Neurospora crassa OR74A: one gene and its partner. The protein of the gene in region 1 interacts with the protein of each later gene in a biochemical or structural test. Links are inferred from orthologs where the notes say so. Each region holds a gene or a part of one and is shown on either strand. Other genes may lie near its edges. The genes, in order: hat-2 and NCU07757.

Region 1 (4,392 bases):
CTTTCATGGACGTCCTCAGGAAACTGATGCCCAGTCCCTTGCCCGTCGGGTCGCCGGCGCCATGAACTGCAAGCATAGCCTTGCCATGACTGGCGTCAAGAAATGCCTTGGTAGTCTTCCAAGGCGCCATCTTGTTGGCAAGAGCATCTGGAGAGAGCTCATCGTTCACATCAACCCCAATGTCATCGTCCTTGAGGGAATCGGTAGCATCATAACCACCCTTCTCGATCTCGTGCAAGCCCACTTGCATGGCGTCCAATAGGCAGACCTCTTCCGGCCTAACAAGAGATCGAATGGCCGGTTCGGCCATTAGCTCTTCGCCTTCGGGCAGCGCCCAATCTTTTGTTTCCTTTCTAAAGCGCAGGAACTCCTTCAACTTTTGACGATTCTGAGACTCGTTGGACTCAGCTACATGCTTAGTAATATCATGGAGGGTAACATGCTCGCTCTTGCGAAGTAGGCGATACGAGACCATCTTGAGACGATTCTTGGCAATGTTTGTAACACGTCTGGAATGGGGCCCTGGGACTTCCATGGAGGGCAGGGTTTGGCCGACAACGTAAAGATGATCGATATTTCTGATGTACCAAGTTGAGCCTTTTTGGCCGGTACTGCTACGACCAATCAGGAAGTCTGTATTCCTCGGGTTATGCTTGAAAATAGGGGCGCGGAACATGTGGTTGTGAAGAGTAGGCACGACCTCGCCAGGGTGGACGTGACCGAAGATGGCGAAGGGTGAGCGATCTTCTGGCATCAATATACAAGTCTCGCCAAGCTCACGCTTCTCAGGTCTGCTATCAGCGCCTTTAGCTCGACGGAAGTAATTAATGATTTTCTGTCCCATGCCAAAGTTGGAGAGAACGGTGGGAATTTCCTCGCAGTACTCGAAAAGGATAGCGGTCGAGTTGTCGTTGAGGGAGAGGTCATGAGTACTCTTAAATACCTCGCTGACGCGTTTACCCTTGAGAGTCTTGCGCTTGATAATGGCAGGCTTGTCGAACCTGATGAGATACTGCAGATCCTTCTTAGGGTGGAGCTGAGGCCGGTGATAACTATGAGGGTCACTGGCCGCGAGCTTGACGCGGTAGTAAGGCCAAGACAGTCTCTGCGCAGGCAAACTGTGCTCGACAGGGATAGTAGCCAACGTGGCCCGAACCCTATTCTGGCTGTTCTCCTTCAACGCGTCGTAAGCAGCGTCAGAGGAGAAATTGAACCGCTGTATAAGGTCCCGCCCAGCTTTCCCATTCGCCAAGCGGACCGTTTTATGTTGGGTCTTTCGCCGCTTAGATGACCGCTCAGATTCGACGTCGTCTATCAGCAAATAAGGGTCGTTCATGTCAAGGATGACACGCTTGCCCAATTTCGAAGTGACCTGCTCGAATTCGTCCAAATTTGGAGCCGTGAAGTGAGCAATAGGAGGAAGACCTTTAGGAATTTCGATCTTTCTCCGCTTTTGAGCAGGCTCATCGAGGAACATGGCATCCCAGTCCGCCTCTTCATCAGGCTCATCCTTAATGAGCATGTTGTCAGGTTTCGGCTGCGGTCCCGGCTCGATGGCAGCCGCAAGACTGTCGCCCAAGAAAATCATCTGTTCCCAGTCCTGACATATCGTAGCTATGTCCTGGAGGGTATATCCACCTATCCTCTCCGAATCCGTTTCGTCGTCCAAGCTGAATACTTCCAGATCGGTTTGTTCCAAAGGCTCTGGCTCTTCGAGACAGAACAGACCTCTCGCTTCCGCTTCCTTAATCCTCTGCCAAACGGAGCCAGTGGCAGGGCCCGGAATCCGGAACTGCTTTTCCTGATCGGCATCCAACTCCAGACTGAGTTTTGATGGTATCAAGGGCTTGGGAGCTTTGGGGGGCTTTTTTGAGATCCATGTGGCATTCTTGGGCTTCAATAGTTCGTTCCAATGCAGGATGGCGTTTTCCTCAAAACCGGGGAATAGTTGCTTGACGGCGTCGATGAAGTTTTCCGCTGGCGGAGGAATGTCGGGATCTTGATTTGTCGCATGCGGCTCTTCGTCATTGTCGAAGTTGAGGTTCCGGAGGTCTTCAAGGGACTCCCCGGCGGCAGCATCCGGACGTTTTTTGGCATCAACATCGTCATGGACGTCGAGCGGCGGGGGAGAGGATCTCAGGCCATCGTGAGCTGTGTCCATGGGCGATGAGGGGTCGCCACCAAAGAGGTCGTCGTCATCATTAGTGCCGGCGTCGTCGATGAGGCTTGGCAGCTCGCCACTGGTGCCGGAAGTGCTCGGTTCGTCGTTGGGTAGCTCGTCCTCGTCGCTCAAGTCGATGTCCTCAAAGTCGATGGCATCGTCTGCCTTGCCTCGTTGATCGATCTCGCCTCCCGACTGGAGGTTCCCCAGCATTTCAGTCAGACCATCGTTACCACCCGGGCCGAAGCTGTTGTTGATCTGGCGAATGGCTTCCTCATCGCGGGCCTCCTGCTCCTTCCATCCTTCCTCATTGAGGGCGTTGAAATCAAAGTCGTCGTTGTCTGCGGGCATCTTGCCGGGCGGAGAGGCGATGCCGCCTCAACGCTGTGTGTTGTCGTCTGTCGCGCAGTCGTCCGCCCGTCTCTCTCTTGCTCCCTCCAACGGTTGCGCGGCCGGTTAAGCTGTCAGATCATGATCCTGGAGCGGAGAAATCGTCGAGAATGCCCGCGGCGGGGGAGCAAAGTGAACCAAGCGCGCGTTCGGTGTTGGTGGGGTGTTGGCAACGCCGCATGCAATTTTGGGTCGTGGTTGTGGCAGAGTCGAAATGGCCGTCGGGTGAGTCGAGGGTGAGGTTGACGTTGAGGTTGCAACGGTACCTAGCGGAAGTTGCAAAAGTGTTGAACCTCCCACAAGCAAGGAAGCACACTGCCACTGCGCGGAGTGCAAGCGTGCTTGAATGCGAACAACGAATCGGCCTGTCGGGGCCACTGCACGGCTACTCTAGGTACCTCTAAGTGGGTCCGTTGACCGGGCCCGGGTCTGGCAGCCGTGTGACAGCCTACCTAGGTACCTACCTATTCTAGATACCTAGCGAGCAGCCCCAGGGCAGTGACTGGGGGACGCTAAGTGCAGTGAATGGCTCGCGCACACTGTCCCTGGTCTTGAAGCATAATACCTAGGTAGCGTTGAACCTGGAACTTGCTTTGGGAATCTGGTAAGGAACCTGGAATAGGTAGGTAGGTACAGGTAGAGGTAGAGGTAGGTAGCCCAGGTACCTAATACCTAAACTGTACAACCTGGAAACTCGGGGCGTTGATTTTCAACTTCCTAGGAAATCAGGCATAACCTGTAAGCATGCTGCCCGATTATGTGCATTTTATGTCCACAAAATTAATTGGAGGAGACTTCCATGTTGCCACCCCGAAGCACGGTAAATTCGATTCTTCAATGTCCTGCCTTAAAACACCTATCTTTTCAAGGGCGCTGGAGCGTGGAGACATTCAAAATCACCGTCTTGCATAGAATTTTTGGTGGGCATGAATGTTGCAGTATGCTTACAGCTTAGGCCTGATTTCCCAGAAAGTTGAAAACCAACGCCCCGAGTCTATACGGTATGCGACCTCACCTACAACTTACAAGTACCATCCAGGTAAAGTAAAGAATATGGAGGAAGAACTAAAGCTTCCCCGCCTTGTGTGACAACCAAATCAACGGCAGGTACAGAAGGAATAGGACCCCGTTGGAGGCGAAGAGACATGAATCGAGAGCGAAATCAAATACTGATTAATTGATCTCTTACAACAGTAGAGTGACGCGCAACTTAAGTCCCGTCTCCCTCTCTGTTCGGGCCAAATGGCCACAATGTCACCCGCAACGTGGGGGGCAGAACACACCTGAACTGATGCGAGATGTCATTTCCAGTCTCTCTGGATTCTCATTTCTCTGCAACCACACTCGCACGCCCATACCAGTGCTCAGCCCGTTTTTGGCATGACAGTTCGGATGTTATACCCTGCGAACTGGCAGGGCCATGAAGTTCAGCAACAGTACACTCACTACCAATGGTGTTTTTGACGTACAGTGGGAAACTGTGTTAAAGCCACGGCCGAAGCCATGGTTACGTACTAGGCTGTCGGTAAAGCCAAAGCTACATTTACCTACTAGAGGTACTATTCCTCTTTCTTGAGATGACTGGATTAGGTGGTTTAAAGAATGTAACAAATCAGCCGATATTGTGGGCCACAGTCATACTGCGTCTACCATAGCAGCTTCGTCATCGCCTTTTGCACCGTTTTCTTTACCTCGCACACCAAGTGAAGTTTCGAGGGCAAAAATACCACACTGCTCACCATGGCAAACCCCGTAATGGAAGAGTTGAAGCAAAAGCAAGATGCTCTAAGGGCGAGGTTCGTCGGCAAGCAGCTGTCCGAGGTCCCTACGCCCAGCGTCGT
Region 2 (4,110 bases), on another chromosome or scaffold:
GGTATACGGCGCGTTACCAGGGACTAGGTAGGGGACAAGTCGGGCTGGTTCTTCTAGGGGCCGACAGCATGGTACATAACGGGCATGCACTTGACAGGCCACAAGCCTAGAATAGACTTTCGGTTTCACGCAGATCTGATCAAGTTGGGTCTGCAGTGGCCTCCTGTTGCAAATGGAGTGAAGCAGTCCAGTCTTTTCTCTGAAATGTTTTTTTTCTGTGTGCAACGGTATTGGGACAGAAAGCTGCACATAGTCCATGGAGCCTTTTCCGTCTCCAAAAGAGTTTTGTTGTTTTGGTGTAAGCCATCATATGGGAAAGGAGCTGATTGTAGTTGGGGATTTCCCAGCCAGACTAGGGTACCTACTAGGGATATCAGGGCAACGTTGAGCGTTTGATGGAGATATTGGGATAAAGGACATTTGATGGGATGGGATTTAGCCACTGGTGTTTGGTACAGCTAGCTCTGTGACAAGGGCAGGAGGATCTGCGATGTCGATTCATAATTCGGCAAATACTTCAAAGGGGAGAATCGAAACGGCGCGGAACTTTCTCACATCTTATGCGATGACCAACCCTCGCTGGTATGGTGATGAGCCATACTTCGAGCCGTTATATGCTACCCTCCGTTGTCAACACCCGCTACCCGAGTCAGGTACGAAAAGTTTGGGGGAAGACTGGACAAAGGCTCAAGAGCCCCACGAGGAGAGAAAATTGAAGAGAAAAAAAAAAGAAAAGTGAAGGAGCACTGCCAGACATAGATGAGCACCATAAGGATAGAATAATGTCAGCTAGCAACTAATGGGAAAATAACAAACGTACGTAGAGGCATGTTACTCATGAATCACTTGATGATTTGGCCCAGAAAAGGGCTTATGTAGGTATCAAAGCAAAATACAGCAGAAATCTTGAAGTCCGTATATGGGGGGAACTTGGGAATCGAATCTTGCATGAAGGAACAGCGAGGTCGAAGGTTGATGTTGTTTACAAATCATGATGGTGATTGGTAACTCCAGATGGGACGGACCAGATACATCGTCTGTTTGGCGGCGCCTTCGAGGCGAGGTTGTTGATTTCCGGAATCCTGTACAACAATCTGTACAGAAAGAATGCTCCAGATATCTCCACATCGCGGGTGCGGGCGACAACGTGGACGACAATGCTGAGTGAATGGAAGGTGAGGTTGAAGAGATGAAGTCGAAGGACGTCGTTGGATAGTGTGGAGTGTCTGCACTGTACAGTCCAATACTGGGTTGTCTGTTAGCTCGAGACCTCTTGTCAACTTGTCCAGACGGTACCACATGTGGTTATTAGTGCTCTTTGACTCCCAGGGCATGAGTTTGGATGAAAATGGCCACTCGAAGCTCCATAATCCATGTCGTCAACAATAAATTTGCATGTTGAAGGACAATTACGGCGTTCAGGACGAGTCTATATGATTCTACTCGGGGTGCCAAACTAACATAGTATCTAAATCAGCATTGGCGGTACTGCGCTAACCCTAACCCACTGCGGGGCCGCTCTCCGTGGTTCGTCAGCTGCCCTTGTGTGTCCATCCACTGTGATGTTTGACCTGTACATACATCATTCCATGAACGCGACAGCTTCCCTCCACGCGACTTGGATCGACGATTTGCAGACCACCATCCCACCCCAGACAGACTTTACCACCCACATTATCACACCGAACCGACGAATTCACGAACCATGGCAGGGGAGGGACCCAAACTCCTCTGGAACCCCGAGAACGTCAAGGATGTCGCCGAGTCGATAGGAATCAACCTGACCGAAGAGCCCCTCCGCGTCCTCACCCAAGATGTCGAATACCGAATTGGCCAGGTCGTCGTCGAGGCCCTACGCTTCATGCGCGCCGCCAATCGCACCACTCTGACAGTCCAAGATGTCTCGCAAGCTCTACGAGTTCTCGACGTCGAGCCCCTCTACGGATACGATTCCACGCGGCCACTTCGCTACGGAGAAGCCAGCATCGGTCCCGGCCAACCGCTGTTCTACATTGAAGACGAGGAGGTGGACTTTGAGAAGGTCATCAACGCTCCCTTACCAAAGGTGCCCCGCGATATGAGCTTTACTGGTAAGCTTGTTTCAGTTCTCTCTCTCACCCAGTGCTCACCTCACCTCAACCTAGTCGCATCAGCTAACACTTTTCTTCCTCTCGCGCGCAGCCCACTGGCTCGCAATCGACGGCGTCCAGCCCTCCATCCCCCAAAACCCCACCACAGCCGAGACCTCCTCCAAGGACCTCCTGCCCAAGGGTCCCGGCGCTAACCCCGCCGTCGCCGCCCTCGCCGGCAACGACAACGTCGCCTTCCGCCCCGCCGTCAAGCACGTCATCAGCAAAGAGCTCATCCTCTACTTTGACAAAGTCCAAGCGGCCATCATGGACGACGACCCGGACGAAGAAAAGACGCGCCTGCGCTCCGCGGCTCTGGACTCGGTCCGCTCCGACCCCGGTCTCCACCAACTGGTGCCCTACTTTGTGTCCTTCATCAACAACCAAGTGACGCACCGACTCGACGACCTCTTTGTGCTCCGGCAAATGATGGAACTCACCGGCGCCATCCTCGACAACCCCTCCATCTTTCTCGACCCGTACGCCTCCTCCCTCGCCGCGCCCGTCTTGACCTGCCTCATGGCCCGCAAACTCGGCGGCTCCGAATCCAGTCTCGAAGGAACCGACGCCCTGAAAGACCAGTACCGCCTCCGCGAAGTGGCTGCCAGTTTGCTCGGCACCATCGCACGGAAATATTCCAAGACCAACGCCCTGTTGCGCCCCAAACTCACGCGCACGTGCCTCAAGTTCTTTTTGGACCCAAGCAAGTCCCCTGCGGTCTTGTACGGCGCCATCAGCGGGCTCGCGGCCGCCGGCGGGCCCGAGGCCGTGCGCATCCTGGTTCTTCCTAACTTGAAGATGTTTGACGAGGGGATCTTGACTCCGCTCCGCGAAAAGGGCGAGGCGAGCCATTTCGAGTACGAGGCGCTGGTGGGAGGGATCATGAAGGCCATTGAGACGCTGGTGGAGGGGATCACCCTGCCTGTTGTTGCGGACGTGGCCGAGTTGGAGAGGGAGGGGCAGTTGGTGATTGAGTTTTTGGGAAGGACGATTGGTGAAAGGGTGGCGAGGTTGGGGAACCAGCATTTGAATCGGGGGATTTTGGAGGTGAGGCATTTGGAGTAGTGGTTGAATGCCGCCGCCGCGGCGATGAGAGCTCGATCATGATGGAAGAGAAGAGATTGAAAAGGAGGTGAGAGAAAGACTGAAGGAGGGAGGGAAAATGGTCGGCAGCACGCGAAAAGTTGAATTCCTACGGGACTTAGATTTTCCCGTACTTTGTATCCTTACCTGGGGGTTTTCTTTTAATCATACAGCGTGGCGTTTGGGTTTGGTTTTTCATATGAGAGTTTTAATGAATGGACTTGGTTAGTCGGATAGGTACAGAGGGTCGGTCAAAATTGATGAAAAGTTGGCTCACTGCATGGCTTGAAGATATACTTTGAGAACTAGACCTAAAAACAGTTCGTCCTTCTATGCTTGTCTTCCGGGCTACTGTTCCATGATGATTTATGTACTCGTTGTGATCATTGATCGTTCGTTCGTTTGTGCTTGGACACTCGACAACCACACAACACGATGGTTCCCTGAGCTGGATCATCGAAGATTTAGCTTCTATTTAGTTTTTTTTGGATACAAACTAATGGCAGGTTCCTGGGAACGTGTTTGCGTACCAGCAGCACAGATCTCACTAGACCATATATATATACCCACGGTTCAAGCGTGCTTTGCTTCACGCGAAGGACGAAAAAAAAAAGTGAATGTCTCCATTTCAACAAACCTCCCTCCCCTTCCTCTTCCTCCCCTCTAGGTAACAGGTTTACTCATACAGCACACGACCCAATCTTTTTCCGTGGAAATGACCGCAGGAGTTTTATGTCCAAGAGTAGTTTCCCCCGTTCCTTCCTTCCTCCCAATCCCTTCTCTTATCTACCAAGCTTCACCACACCTAAACCACCCTTCTTCCTAAGAAAAATGATGATCTACATGAAAAAAGCCAAATACACACCGCCCACAATGCTCGCTCCCCAAAAGTACCAAC

Evidence for each region.
Region 2: the proteins of hat-2 (region 1) and NCU07757 form a complex in vitro, tested with the Saccharomyces cerevisiae proteins (2 studies listed by BioGRID). The link is inferred for Neurospora crassa OR74A from reciprocal best matches to the Saccharomyces cerevisiae genes TAF1 and TAF6.

What each region holds. Positions count from the first base shown.
Region 1 is NC_026501.1:2,719,918-2,724,309, reverse strand, and holds the start of hat-2 (histone acetyl transferase-2), read right to left. Parts: upstream 2,890-4,392; 5' UTR 2,513-2,889; coding exon 1-2,512. Other genes in the region: NCU16368 (hypothetical protein), read left to right, coding at 4,292-4,392. UniProt on the Saccharomyces cerevisiae protein: Functions as a component of the DNA-binding general transcription factor complex TFIID. Binding of TFIID to a promoter (with or without TATA element) is the initial step in pre-initiation complex (PIC) formation.
Region 2 is NC_026505.1:401,694-405,803, forward strand, and holds NCU07757 (transcription initiation factor TFIID complex 60 kDa subunit), read left to right. Parts: upstream 1-1,591; 5' UTR 1,592-1,705; coding exon 1,706-2,090; intron 2,091-2,181; coding exon 2,182-3,194; 3' UTR 3,195-3,475; downstream 3,476-4,110. Other genes in the region: NCU07758 (hypothetical protein), read left to right, coding at 491-653, 864-875, 1,015-1,193; tca-11 (succinate dehydrogenase cytochrome b560 subunit), read right to left, coding at 4,052-4,110.